2 linked regions of the Alligator mississippiensis genome follow. Each later gene encodes a partner of the first gene's protein in a complex. Links are inferred from orthologs where the notes say so. Each region holds a gene or a part of one and is shown on either strand. Other genes may lie near its edges.

Evidence for each region. Proteins that work in one complex are often made in the same cells at the same time.
Region 2: KAT2A (region 1) and TAF4 share a complex: the UniProt entries of both Homo sapiens proteins name them as parts of the TFTC-HAT complex. The link is inferred for Alligator mississippiensis from reciprocal best matches to the Homo sapiens genes KAT2A and TAF4.

The regions. Positions count from the first base shown.
Region 1 is NC_081827.1:162,545,802-162,553,587, forward strand, and holds the start of KAT2A (histone acetyltransferase KAT2A), read left to right. Parts: upstream 1-4,778; 5' UTR 4,779-4,793; coding exon 4,794-5,024; intron 5,025-5,115; coding exon 5,116-5,239; intron 5,240-5,333; coding exon 5,334-5,479; intron 5,480-6,736; coding exon 6,737-6,826; intron 6,827-7,786. Other genes in the region: heat shock protein 30D-like, read left to right, coding at 1,886-2,581. UniProt on the Homo sapiens protein: Protein lysine acyltransferase that can act as a acetyltransferase, glutaryltransferase, succinyltransferase or malonyltransferase, depending on the context.
Region 2 is NC_081832.1:5,995,315-6,002,131, forward strand, and holds the start of TAF4 (transcription initiation factor TFIID subunit 4), read left to right. Parts: upstream 1-3,801; 5' UTR 3,802-3,840; coding exon 3,841-4,165; intron 4,166-5,698; coding exon 5,699-6,808; intron 6,809-6,817. UniProt on the Homo sapiens protein: The TFIID basal transcription factor complex plays a major role in the initiation of RNA polymerase II (Pol II)-dependent transcription.

The DNA.
Region 1 (7,786 bases):
ACCCATCACCTCTACCTGCTGTTGCCAAACAAACTGCTCTGGGTGCTTGGAAAGCTCTTCCCTGGGGAAAGCAGAGTGGGCCTGCACTATAGAGCCTGTGCTGCTGAAATCCCCTCAAGCGCCTGCTGTTCATAAACCAGCCCCTGTCCCTGACTGGCCTAAGCTCAACCAACTTTGTCATCTTCCTCTAAATAGGGAGCTGTGCTGTAAAGCCAAGGAACAAATGCAGGGTAGGAAGAGGGGACTAGGCAACATGATTCCTTTTTAACCATGGCATCTCTAGAGTTGACATTAGATAACATGTTTTCTACCCAGGGGATTTTTTACAACAAAAGCTCTGAAAGGACAGTGATAACAAGGGCAGGGTGGGAGTAGGGTGTGAGGCACTGGGCAAGGGCTTTTTAAGCAAAGAGACTTAAGAAGAGATTATCCACATGCTGACTGTCCCTTGCTCCATCTGCTTCATGACACACACAGAGTTTGCCTGTGCTGCTTGAGGCACACATGCTGCAGGTTGGCCACCCCATCCTAAACTGATAAACCCTTAGCAAGTGAGTAGCTCCACAGCAATCCAGTGGATCACTCGTGTGACTCAGACTCAGAGGCCTGGGCCCAGTTGCTGGAAGGGGTTGCTCCCAGGCTAGAAAATTTACTTTGAAAGTGTATGCAAATATAGACTGACAAAATACAGGGCCTGAGGTTGCCAGACAGTGTGTGGTGATGCTCAGGCCTCAGGGGACAGGTTTTAAAGGTCACTGCAACTGCATCTTCCACTGTTCCCTGTTTGGAAATTTAAAAAAAAGTTTCTAATCAATTCACTACCAACTGGAATGTGGGAAACGCGGGTTTATTTCCACCAACTACACACAAACAACACATTCAGAAAGATCACCATCACCTGGCTAAGATATATGTCACCAGGCAACATAGCAATATTGAAACCAAAAGCCCCGTTCCTCTCCAGGTTGGGCACAGGTATAAGAGTTCTGTCCAGAGTCCAACATAGCCAAGACTAAACCGGTCACTGCTGCAGGAGGGACTCCTAGGTATGATGTCCTTGGATGGGATAACCGGACTGGGGCAGGGATACACCCCAGAAATGGCTGTAGACTCTGGGTGAGGGCAGTGTGCTTGCCATCACCCCTTCTGGCTGGATCAGAACTCCTAGCTGCTGCTTCCCACCTCCCTTCCTAGCTTCTCCTCCTTGGCAGCAGGGTCTGTTTGTGTGGCTCCCTCTCCCCACTGGATGCTGCTGGGAATGGCTTTTCCTTCTGCGGGCTGCAGAGCCAGGCGTGTTGCTTCAATGTGGAGTTGTGCATCAAAGCACAGAGAGCAGGTAATGGCATCCAGGTCTAGGCCTGCGGTCAGGAGCATTTCCCTGTGCATCTCCCGGTACTCCCAGAAGCTGTCTCCATCCTCTCCAGGGCTCTGCTTCTCATGGCTCCCCATCACTGTCACCTTCCTGCCCTCCTGCCTTACTGTCAGGTCCTCTGGAGAGAAGCCAGGCACGTCCAGATGCAGATCAAACTTCTTGTCCTGCCAACCCTTAGACTTGGGCTCCTGCTCTGTGGCCCCAGCCAGAACTGCTCCATTCACCCTGCAGCCCATCCCCACACTGTGCACCCAGAGGGGTGAGGCACCTTCCAGCAAAGCCCAGCCCTACCACATAGCCAGCCTGATCCATCATTCACGAGTCAGGGCCAGGGCCCTCCCACCAAGGCCAGATACGGCCGGAGGAGGCAGGCTCAGCCCAGATATGAGCAGGAGGAGGAAAGTTCAGGAAGTGCCTGGAAGTGCCACGCGGGTACAAAAGGCAGCCCAGCAGGCAGCAGAGGCAGTGCTCAGCTGAGCAATGCAAGGCAGCGTGCGTGGCAGGAGCAGAGCCATGGCACGCTACTCCCGGCGCCTGGTGCGGCTGCTCCCTGTGTGGCAGTGGCCATCGCGAGGCTGGTGGCCCATGTGTGTCTGCAGCAGCAAGGGGATGAGCAGCCTCCTGCAGCCATCGCCAGCCAGCATCTTTGAACAGATGGCGAGTGACCTGCAGCAGCAGGTGGAGGCGAAGGACAGGCTGAGCCGTGCTGTCTTCCAGGCCCAGCCGCTCCTGTGGTTGGAGCCTGCGGGCCAAGGGGAGCTGAGGCAGGATGGAGGGGCCCAGGCTGGGGCTACAGAGCAGGAGCCGGAGTCTGGGGGTCGGCAGGACAAGAAGTTTGAGCTGCACATGGACGTGGCCGGCTTCTCCCCGGAGGAGCTGACAGTGAGGCAGGAGGGCAGGAGGGTGACGGTGACAGGGAGGCGTGAGAAGCAGAGTGCTGGAGAAGATGGAGGCAGCTTCCAGGAGTACCTGGAGCTGCGCAGGGAAATGCTGCTGTCCACGGGCCTGGACGTGGAGGCTGTGACCTGCTCCCTGTGCTCAGATGGACAGCTCCGCATTGAGGCACCGTGCCTGGCCCTGCAGCCTGCAGAGGGGAAAGCCACTCCCATCAGCATCCAGGCGGGAGAGGGAGCCACACAAGGAGACACTACCGCCAAGGAGGAGAAGGCGCTGGGAAGGGAGGTGGGGAGTGGTAGCCAGGAAACCTGATCCAGGCCGAGGGAATGATGGCAAGCCTGCTGCCCTGGCCCAGAGACTGCAGCACGCCTGTGGTGCATCACAGCCCCGCAATCATACCTAGGTGTCCCTCCTACTGCAGTGACTAGGGGCTGTGCAGAGTCTGTAGCCACCTTGGTTTCTGGAGAAAGCTATACATGTCACCAATCTGGAGAGGGATGGGGCTTTGGGTTTCAGTACCACTTTATTGCCAGGTGACAATTATTCGGCTGACTGTATTGCTTATGTGTCATGATGGAAATAAACCTGTTTCCCACATGCCAGTTGTCTGTGGATTCAATGGAAATTGTTTCTTGTCCAATTGCCCAGCTCATTGTTGAGGAGGAGGAAAGTGTCAGTGCTTTGTGTGTAAAAATCACTGATTGAAGAGCATAGTATGGAAAGGATAGAATTACATCTGGTGCAGACGTACCGCGTGTCTTAAGCCAGTGTAGTCAACCTTTACAGCACCATAAGGAAGGAGCAGATAGGCAGCATAAACCTCTCTGGGGTATTGTTGCCTCAGAAAAAATGTGTAGGAGATCATCCGACCCCATCTGTCCTGGTGTAGTTGTTTTTTTCCAAGGCCAACAGGTGTGCTCCTGCCACTGTGGCAAGGCTGTGGAATGGTGCACACTGTGTGTACTCCAGCTTATACTCCAACAGTCTCTTTTTTCTGCAGGGCAGTTGATACGAAAGGTGGAGTAAACACATGCTTTTTGCCCATGCACAAGACTGTCTCCGGGCACATCCAGGTCCTGCTTGGGATTCTTGATTCTGGAGCGGATGTTCTTGCTCAGAAATACCCCACAGGCCTGCAAGGGCAGCAGCTGCCATTGATCTCTGCCTCTCACCTTCAGGCCAGGCAGACGGCAGACAGGAGTTATTTACATTGCTGCACATAACCGCTTTACACCACATTAGTATACATGTCATAGGTCTGGGTCCTTCAATGTTAGATTACTATTTGTAGGTGAGTGTCCCTACGGTCTTGGAAACTAAATCTGACCTAGGATTTGGACTTCTGGAGGAGACAGTTTTGAAGGCTGGGAGATATTGAACCATGTTGTAAAAGTGTAACAGTCAGGACTTGTGAAGAGAGGTCCTAAGAAGAGGTGTCCTATACAAAATGGTTTGTAAGGCAATCGTTGAGAGAAGAAGGGAGGGATGTCAGCACCCACCCTAGCAATGTCTTCCTGATCGACAAATTCCTGACACCCAGGAGCCTGTCCTTTCTTCCCCTGTTGTCAGCGATTATGTTGCAAGGCTTGTGCTTGTCTTCATGGCCCAGCTGCTAGGATGAGGGTGTTTTTAGCTTTCATGAAAAACAAAAAATGTTTCTAGCCTCAAAGATACAGACAAAAGCTGGAAACGTGGCCTCTAAGGCCCCAAGCAGGGGCTAATGGCCTTCTGAAATTCTCAGCTGGGGGAGCCCATTGTAGGGGGCCACAATGGGGACGGTGTTAGGTCAGAGCAGGGGCACTCAAGTCCTGGCCTGGTGCGAGGCAACAAGCCCGATTCAGCCTGTGCAGGGCTGCAGCTGCAGCAGCAGGGCCCAACCTGGCACAGGCAGGGCTGGGAGTGGGAAACGGCCGCAGCTGGCACGCACGGGGCTCCATTCAACCTGGGCCCTTGGTTACACTGTGGGCCCACGGCCTGGATTTGGCCTGCAGACAGACACATCTGCACCACTCATCTGGCCCGCAGGGCCAAAAGCTCCGTCACCCTGGGTTGGCACTGCTGGTTTTGTTTAGGGTCCGGCCAACCCCTCTAGACTCGAGGCAGCCCTCGGAAACCGCCAGCTCCCGGCTCTCGCTCCTTGGACAACAGAAACAAGCGTGTGCCACTCATGGTGGCTGCGAGCGCCGCCGGGCAGACGCCCTCTTTAAGCGCGGCAGAGTCAGGGTGGACAGCACAGGGCACGTCCCTGTTTTCTGCTCCTTTGTCCCCTATTCATGCGGCACCCGACGCTTCTAGTCCTCTATTTTTCTCTTCAAACAGAGGACGTCAAGGCGTCCGGTTCCGTCTCAACAGAGAACGACCAAGCTGTCCTCTCTGACGGCCACCTCAGCGGGGTGTGGCGCGGTGCGAGCCCACGTGCAAGGACCGGCTTCCGGGCGGCCCCCGGGGCGGGCGGCGAAACTACAGCTCCCAGCAGGGGCCGCGCAGGCGCGGGGCGGCGCAGCGGGGCCGGGTGGGAGCCGGCATGGCGGAGCCGGAGGCCGCGCAGCCCGGGCGGACCACGCAGCCCCCCGCGGCGTCGACGGCGGCAGGAGCGGGCCCCGCGGGGGCGGGCGCGGGCGGCGCCGCGGGCTCCAGCGACCCGGCGCGGCCGGGCCTGAGCCAGCAGCAGCGGGCCAGCCAGCGCAAGGCGCAGGTGCGCGGCTTCCCCCGCGCCAAGAAGCTGGAGAAGCTGGGGGTCTTCTCCGCCTGCAAGGTACCGGGCCCGGCAGCACCCCCGCCCCGCCCCGCCCCGGCCCCGAGCCCGGCCCCGGCCCCCCTCACGCTCTCTTGCCGCCCCCGCGCAGGCCAACGACGCCTGCAAGTGCAATGGGTGGAAGAACCCCAACCCGCCCACGGCGCCCCGCATGGACCTGCAGCAGCCCGTGGCCAACCTGAGCGAGCCCTGCCGGAGCTGCGGGCACGCCCTGGGTAAGACCGGGGCAGGGGTGGAGGAGCGGGGCGACGGGGTGGCTGCGTGCGGCCGCTGGTGCTGACCCGCCGGCCCTTTGCTGCGGCCCCGCAGCTGACCATGTGTCCCACCTGGAGAATGTCTCAGAGGAGGAGATCAACCGGCTGCTGGGCATGGTGGTGGACGTGGAAAACCTCTTTATGTCGGTCCACAAAGAGGAGGACACGGACACCAAGCAAGTGTACTTCTACCTGTTCAAGGTGCGTTGCTCAGGGCTGTGCCCCGGGGTCCCGCTCTGCAGGGTGCCGTGCCTTGTGGAGGTGCCTCAGGGTCCCTGCTTTGCTGCCAGGTGACGTGCAAGCTAGTGCTGGTGGCCAGCTGGGCTGTGTGGTCACGTCCCCCCGATTCAGCAGCAGTGTTTAGCCCTACCACATGGCATTGGTGCTCCTGAAGCTTATGGAAAGCAGCTGGTAGGGAGCTTCCCCCCGTCTCCCCCATTGGATGCCTTTGGGGTGTTAAGAACCCACGTGCTATGATCTCTCCCCAAACTCTGTCCCAGCGCTGGGCTTGGCTAACTCCCCCCTGCAAGGTTTTGATTTCATGTGGAGCTGCTAGGGGTCGTACACAGTTAAGGTTTTCAGCCTGCAGTATGCTAGGCCGTTCCCAGTCTGACATGGTGGCCCTTTGATGCTGTTCTGCTAGACAGACCTTTCACCAAGAGTCAGATCTGTGTGTCTGCATGCTGTTGGGGTTCTGGTTTTGCTGGACCCAATGTCTTGATAGGCCAGCTCTTCAGGGAGCGTGCTGCAGAAGTCTGTTCTGGGATCTAGGCTCAGTGGGGGATTCATTTGTTAGGTGCCTGCAGACCTGTTCAATCAGCCCAGCAGCAAGGTGGTTCTTTGGAAACTGCACAGAAGGTCTGAGCCAAGGCCTGTGGGGAGAATTATCTTCAAAGGAAGAACCGGGCATGCTTTGCCTCAGGCCTGGCCAGATCCACAGCTGGCTGCACTGAAGACAGTGCCCAGGCCATGTGGCCCCCTCGACGCACTCTCACAGGGGCCCCAGTTTAGGATCCCCAGGATATAGAGGGCCCCCTCCTGCATGTCACACCACTGACCACTGGGATGTTCCCCGCTGTTTTTACCTGAAGTCCAGCGGGACCTAGAGCTGGTTGGCAGAGGCAGGGGTGCAGTGGGATCTATCTGCCGCTGCTGCCCCCCCCCTCCCCCTTGGTGCTGTGGCTCTGGAGGGGTAGGCCTGCATGGGGCAAGGAAGGGGCTTCGCATCTGGGTGCTACCCTGGGGCAGGGGCTGCCCTCCTACCTTTGCAGACAGGCACCTGCAGGCTCCAGGCAGGGGCCAGCCAGGCCCTGGAGCACATGGGAGCTGCCCTCAGTGCTGGGGCTGCCTGGTCTCTGGCTTGTTCCTCCTGGTCTTGCTGGAACCCCTTTCTGCAGCTGGCTAACCCCTGCCCTTGCTCTGCCTTCGGTGGTGTAACAGCCTCCTTGTGTCTCGCAGCTCCTGAGAAAGTGCATCCTGCAAATGAGCCGTCCGGTGGTGGAAGGGTCCCTTGGGAGCCCACCCTTTGAGAAGCCCAATATTGAGCAGGTAACACGAGCGCTCCACAGCGGGCATTGGTTGTCACAACAACCTCTTCTGCTGTATCAATTCCCTAGTGTGTCTGCGCCCAGGGCCTCCCAGGATGGGGGTGCTGCTGCCACTGCCTCCTGTGCCTGCTGTTTTATATCATGGTCTTCAGCCTCCTTCCTCCTTTTTCTCCTACCCCTTGTAAAACTAGAAGAGCTTCCTTGCAGCTCAGTGCTGCTTCTCCCAGATAGAGGTTCTCCTGGGCTCTTCAAAAGCAAACCAGGCTGCATTTTGGTGCAACAGTGTGCCAGAGGGTCTCTGTGCTTGGAGGCAGGGATGTGATGGAGATGCATGGAGCTGGGCAGCTGCTGGGCTGCGGTCCTCTCTTCTGACTCCACACCTGCTGCGTGCAGCTTTGTCCATGCTTCTCCCACCCTGCTCTGCCCTGCCCATCTCTTTCCTTAGCTCTCTGGCTGTGATGACAACATCACATCCAGTAATTGGATGCAAGTTGCCTGCCCCTGTGTTCTGCTATTGGGCCCCTCTCAGACCTGACCAGCAGTCCTATGGGTATCTCTCTCTTTATGCAGAGTTGCCAGATCTGCCAGCCTATGGGCAGACTTCTGCAGCATGATGTTACTTCATTCCTGCCCTGCCCCAACCCACTTACTGCCTGAAGCAAAGCTGAACCCCAGTCTCTGTTGATGGTTGCAGCTATTCTGTGCTGCCTCTCTGGACTCTCTGGCCCTCCTGGTCCGTTAATGTTACCCTCTGCACCCTCACCATCCCTTGGTCATAGGACCATAGAAAAGTGGGCCCTCAGGAGGTTGTCTAGCTCTGCCTACTGCTCAAGGCAGGATCATCCCTATCTAAACTGTTCTATACAAGTGCTTGTCTAAGCTTTTCGTAAAGCCATGCCAACAACCCTGTTGCACAGCTGCAAGGCACTTTGTGTGGAGCCATCTTAGGACTGACCATGAT
Region 2 (6,817 bases), on another chromosome or scaffold:
GGGATGGTCACTGCTGGACCCATGTCCTGGTGAGCAAAAGAGGTAGGGGAAGCTCTGATTTTTTTTTCACAGTTAAAAAACCTAAAATCAAATGCCAAACTTTATAGGCATTTAGAATTTATTTTATTGTAGTGACTGAGGTACTGGAAGGCTTCGAAATTGCTTAAAAGCTGTAAATATATCAATAAATCATTGTGTTCTACTGATACCTATATATAGCGGCATTTCCTATTAATCATGGGAAAACATGGATTTTAGGGTTTTTAATCGGAGAATTTGCAAGTGCATTTTAATCGGAGAATTTGCCATTTTTAAACAGGGAAAACCAGGATCCCTGCCAGTGATCCCAGGAGGGGAAGTAGAGGGGCCATGTGACCCAGGGAGCCCTATATAAGCCCAAGCTTCAGGCCAGCTGTGGAAGCCATCCGGGATGGAGCCTTCCCTGGGAGGTGTGGAGACTGGAGCCCAGACTCTGGAGAGAGGACTTGGGGGGGGGGGGGGGGGGGCAGCGCTGAGTGAAGAGAAGCTGGGAGCCTGCATAGAAAGAAAGCTAAGTACCACTGGGACTTCCTGTTTTGCTTTCTTTTCTACTTGGAGCCTGCCACCAAGAGGTGGGGCGATTCCGTGTGGGGCGTTCTTTTGAACTGGGACTGGTGCTTGCATTTTGTGGTTTTCATTCCTCTCCCTCCTTCCCTACCCTGTCCCCGAGGACTGGGTTGTGGGGGGGGGGGGAGGGACTGGGGGACCCTGAATTTGCACTGAGTTGACAGAGGACAAGGACTAGAGTGTGTTCTGTGGCTGAATGAGGCCAAGCTTGCCTGGACTGTAAAGATGAATGTTTAAAGTATGTTTGGTGGCCATAGGAGGCCAAGATTGTCTGGACTATAAGGCAGGAGGTGGCAGGGGAAAAACGGGATGCCAGGCCCCTAGCGCCTACATAGTGGATTGCAGAGGCTGGAACCTGAGGTTGTGGGTTGTGACCAGAGCTGACCCAGGAACTTGCAGCTCTGAATGGTGGGCCCCAAGCTAGAGGGCTGAGGGAGAGTAAAATCAGGACAAGGCCATGAGGGAGCCTTGGACCAGACGGGGCCCACCTCTACAAAAGCATGTTTCACCCTCTGTGCAGCCTCCCCCCCACTAATGTTAACATCAAAGGCATGGCAGTTGAGACTACTGACTAGGGGAAAGATGGGTGTTTATATGTATGACTCTTTTTATTAATGTACATGTTAGACAGAGTTTCATTAGTTTTTATTGAAATGTTGTATGGCAGCTAGCTAGTATAGTAGATGTTCCATATGATACGGTAAGAAGTATTAATACTACAAACATTTGGAAATGAATCATAGCAATCTTAATCATTGTATGGTCTGGCTCACAATGAAGGTTCTCTCTGTCCAAGAGTTCTGCTAATTCTCCCCCAACATGACCATCTCCTACCTTTTGAACTTCTTAATCTCTTCTGCTCTTTTTTTGTCCAGCTGTGACCCTCTTGTCCTTTAGTCATTCCCTCTGTCCCTATTGCTGTGTTTAGTTCTTCCTTCACATGAGCTCTTCTCTCTTGCTGTGCCCCTCTGTCATTCTAATCCATGGTGCATGTGTAGCCAAATGCAGCCCAAGCAGCTAAAGGAGCAGAAAAAGTGACTTTTGGTCATCTTTGTCATCCTAGGGCTAATCAGGACTGTTCTGGCTTTCATCTGGAAGAATTTGTCCTTGAGGAGTCATTTTGGCAGTTGGTGCAGCCTGTGAATTGCTATCCTGTTATTGTTCAGTTATGCATGGACAGATAGCCTTCTCTTGGAGTCACTAAAGTTGACAGAACTTAACTGAGGATAAAGGCAGCAGCATGGGAGAGAAGTGACATGAGCTGTAGAAGTGGTGGTCCTGCATTTCAGGAGCTGGGCAACAAGGCTTCATGGGATGTGTGTGTAGGATACAGCAGCTGCACTAGTGTAGTTCAACTAGTATTGACAAAAAGTGCAAGTTGAGAACCCTGTAATTAGAAACAGGTCCTTTTCCTTGCTGCTTTCTACCAGGTGCTGAGCAGGATAACTGAGGAAAGCTTGTAACAGTAATGAATGAAAACAAGGATAAAGGATAGTTATAATGGCTGAACATGTTGGTTACACAAGGGGAATTTAGACACGGGGATTTAATAAGGTTTTAAATGTTGGGAGGAGGGAGGCAACTGCTTCAAGTTTTAATGACTTGTTTTGAGGCGATAAGAATTTCAAGAAAGGCCAATTGCTCCGATTCTCATTCATAGTGCAAAACTCTTCATGGGAGAGAAGAATAAACTGTCTCCAGCTTTATTAACAGGGGAAAAGAGAGTTTGGAACTAGACGAGCAGCAATATTAGGATGCATATTAAAATATTAGGAATACATGGGTTATATTTTGCATGAGTGCTGTGTGTCCCTGGAGACTCGGGGGCGGAGGGCACAGACCACCTGCAGGTGGCCCCCTCTGGGGTGGGTGGTGGTGGGGAGCACCAACCAGTGGTTGGCAACCACCTGCAGATGCCGCTGGCAGCATTGGCAGTAACCAGTGTGTTTCAGGGACTGCCCATAGATGCTGCTAGCAGTGTCGGTGATGAATGATGATTAGAGTCCTAAGACCAATATTAGTGGTAATGTATTGACCTGAGAGACCATTTCCCTAAAGCTGTTGACTCCCACCTCCTTCCCCTCTTTTCCACCGGTGTCAATAGGTGGCTTGACTCTGTGGTAGACTGTCCAGTAGATGTTTAAGGGAAGACTTTTTCTTTTTCCTGTCTCTCTCATCTCTTCTCCCACCAACTCCTAAACACTGAGTGCTGAACTTCAGCAAACCAGAGTCCAAGCTAAGCAATGTTGCAGAGGCCAACACAAGACTTGTCCATACCACCTTTGGGCCACGACCAGCAGGCCAGGCTCCATCTGTCTGCTTTAAATAAGCTAAAAGGTATTATTGGGGAGGGGGGAAACTGTTGCAACACATCCCTTTGCCTCTGCAGCCTAGAAGCATCCATTTGGACAAGGCGCTGGCAGCGTTTGCTCCTCCCAAAAGGCTGATGCTTTCTTTAAATATTCCTCTGTGGGCCATTTTTTTTTTTTTTCAGGGGTTTCAATCCAGACTTACAAGCGCAAAAAAAAAAAAAAAAAAAAAAAGCAGCTGCTCTCGACTTGCCTCCGGTCTCCTTCTAGCTACCCCCACCCCCAGCACCGCATCCAGCCTGGAAGGACCCATTCGCTCCTCCCAAAAGACAGCATCAGCCTGTGGGCCACTTCACAACACCCCCCCCCCCCAAAAAAAATTTGTGCATGGAAAGGCTGGATTGAGCTCCCGCTTGAACTAGAGGGAGATTGGAGGCAACCCCAGCATCCCTCCCTCCCGGGCCCTATTGTTAGGTTGCAGAAGCGGCCTTGTCGCGGATCCGGAGTCACTCCGGAGCTGCCCTCCTCTCAGCGCCGGGCTTCTCTTCACCCCTCCTTTCCTCACAGGTGCGGCGCCCTTCAGCCTCGCAGCCATTTTGGGCTCGGCCAGACAAAGAGCACCCCCCACCCTCCCTCCTTCCCTCCCCGCCACCGCGCCCCCCTCCCTCCCGCCCCCTCCAGCTCCCGCCGGGCCGCCGCCGCCCGGCTCCCGACTAAACCCCCGCAGCCATTTGCGCGGCCTTTTATAGGCGCGGGCGGGCCAATGAGCGCGCGGCGGAATCCCGGCGGGCGCGCCTGCGCAGGGGGCGCGGGGGGCGGGGCCGGGCGGCGCGCGCGGGGGGAGGGGAGGGGCGGGGCGGGTCAGGGGAGGAGTGTGAGGGGAGGGGGGAGGGCGCCCAGCGCACAGGAACCCTCCAAAAAAAAGATGGCGGCGGGCTCGGATCTGCTGGATGAGGTTTTCCTGAACACGGAGGTGGACGAGAAGGTGGTGAGCGACCTGGTGGGCTCCCTGGAGTCGCAGCTGGCGGCCTCCGCCCACCACCACCCGCCCCACAAGGCGCAGGAGCCGCTGCGGGCCGCCGGGGGGCTGCTGGGGAACCATGTTGTGAGCGGCAGCGGCAGCGGCGGCAGCAGCCCGAGCCCCAGCCCGGCGGGAGCGGGAGCAGGAGGCGGCGGCGGCGGCGGCGCCCATGTCCACAGCGAGGGCGGAGGCAAGATGGGGCTCAGCGCCCCCGAGGTCCCCAAAGCAGGTAGGGAGGGACAGGGCTTCCCCCCTGCCCCTGAGGGCTCTGGCAGGGGGACCCCCCCACTTTTCAGGCCCCCCCCCGGGGGTGGCAGCGGGGGGAGCCTCCTGCCGGCCCCCCTCGCACTCCAGCGCTCCCCCCGGCTGCTGGAGTGCCAGGGGGGGTTATTAATCATGACACCTATTTCCTGTATGGGAGGAAGCCGGGTGGGGGGGTTCAAGGAGGAGGGTGTCCCCCCCCACCCCCCCCACGCACCATCTGCATCTGTCTGGGTGTCCCCCCGTCGCCCGCCTCTTCTCGCAGGAGCCTGGAGGGGGGCATTCGACACCTCTCATTCCTCCTTTCCCCTCAAGAGGGTGTTCTTGCAACGTCAGGTCCCGGCGTGGAGGTGGTGGTGGTGGCAATGGGGGGGGGTGCACCCCACCTTCCTCGCCTTCCCGCCGGCTTTGGGACTGGGGGGTGGAGGGGGGGGTCGGTGTTCGTCACGACGCGAGGTCTCCGTTGGTGGGGGATGGTGGCGTGTAAGATGTTGTTTTTTTTTTTTTTGAGGGAGGGAAAATGTTGTCTTGTGCTTCTTGTCGCCTCCTCACCACCCCCACCCCCCTCTTTTTTGTGTGTGTGTGTGTGTGTGTTTTTTCCTTCTGCTAAGAGGTCGTTGCTATTAAATCAAAGCAGCGGGGATTGCGGGGGAGGGTCCCCCATACGATGCGCCTCTTAGTGTATCTGTCAGTGACTGCCCCGTTCCCATTTCTCTCTCTTTTTAATGCAGGACCTGAAGTATCTAAGCTGGGGTTAGTCATAATACCAGGCCTTGCCAAGGGGCATGAAGAGCTCTGGGGGCAAGAAGCTGCATCATAATGGTCCTTCTCAGTGCCAGCATCTACCTTCTCTTCTTTACGATTTTACTTTATTGTTATGGTTTTGGTTCTCGGGTTCCCGTAACCATAAAGAGCAGATCCCGTCCGCTCTTTCTCCTAAGAGCTTTCCCCTTGTCAGGCTGTCGGTTCTCTCGTCCCCACCTCCTCTTCTTGCAGTAGTTGAACTAGATGCTCCAGCAACTAGCTGCCAGTCTGGCAGCTGATAGGATGAGGAGGGTAGCCCACATCAGGTGTACAAGGCATGGGGAATACACCTTATTAATGGATTTCCCAGGCTCTCTGTCTCGCCTTCAGTTTTTTTTCCCCCTTATAGTTGCAGGATCTGAAGTTATTAGACATAATGTCAGTCCCTAGAATGAAAGAGAAATAGGTTGAAGGAAAAGAAACATTTCCCCAGTCATGGTCTGTATTGTATCCTATCAGGCGTCTGATTTCCCTTCTTGGTGCAAGTGGGCGTTATAATTAATAACGCTGCTAATGGGAGACTAGGGGGCCTTGGGATTCACTGGCTTGTAGCTCTTCTTCCTCTGCATATGCTCACCCCTGTTTCTTATTGCAGGCAGCATGTGGGGGAAAAAGGCTGCTTGGGGGGAGAATGCTTCCCATGCTTCTGTTGTCTCCTGCGCATTCTCTTCTTGTAACCTCCTTCTCGTTGTTGCAGGAGCTGGAGGAGTGCAAGGGGGTGTTATTAACCATAACACCAGGTCCCAGAGTTCAGCTCTGGATGGAGCCACAACGACCAGCACCAGCACCACCACTGCAGCAGCTACAGCAGCAGCTGCAGGAGGAGGAGGAGGATCTGAAGTTACTGCTGCTCCAGGGACCCTCAGTCAGGGCAAATCGGTGGTTATCAGCACCATGGCAACCTCCTTGTCCACCAGGAATGGCAAAATTGGGACCACAACCGTGCAAACTTTGAATGGGAGTAATGTGGTGATGAACTCTCACCACTCCGGAAGTGCTGCTTTCTCTGGGACTCCTGCAACTGCTAATCCTGCTTCTGCACCTGCTGTTGCCCCTCTAGTTAACAATGGACCTGGATCGGTGGGGAAAGCAAATACTGTTAATGCTGTTTTGCCATCAGCTTCCAGCACTGTCATCCAGACTTCTTTCCTCAGCACTGCTGTGTCCTCTGCCTCTTCGTCACCCACAGTGATCTCCTCACAGCCACCACCAAGCATTGGAAGCGGGGGGGCTACTGTAGCACTGGTGAGGCCACCGATTCATACAGCAGGACCCACGGTTGCTGCAGCTGCTGCAGCCACCCAGAATGGGAGCAATACTGTGATCAATTCAACCATCAGTGTGGGGAATTTTCCTGCTGTTGCTGCAGCCACTGTGGGATCTGGAGTTGCCCTCCAGACATCGCTTGTGAACAGCCAGCCTGGTTCCAGTGTGCCGGCAGCCCCCACCACGCAGGTCATCAAATCGGAGTCTCCTAAAACTATAGTGCAGGCAGTATCCCAACAGCAGACACTGGCTGCTAGTGGCCAGCCCAGTACTACAGGGGGTAACATGATCATTGGGCAAACTATGCAAGCTGGGCTCTCTAATGTGGCCCCCAATCCTGGTGGGATACCTCCAGCAGCTCCTGGTACTCCTACGGGGATGGCTAAGGGCACTGCCAATACAGTGGCACAAAATCTGCCAAGGACTCCAGCAGCAACGACAAGTGGTATCAGAGCAACTTTGACTCCTACAGTTTTAGCACCTCGTCTGCCTCAGCCACCTCAGAATCCAACTAATATTCAGAACTTTCAGTTGCCACCAGGTAAGCAAA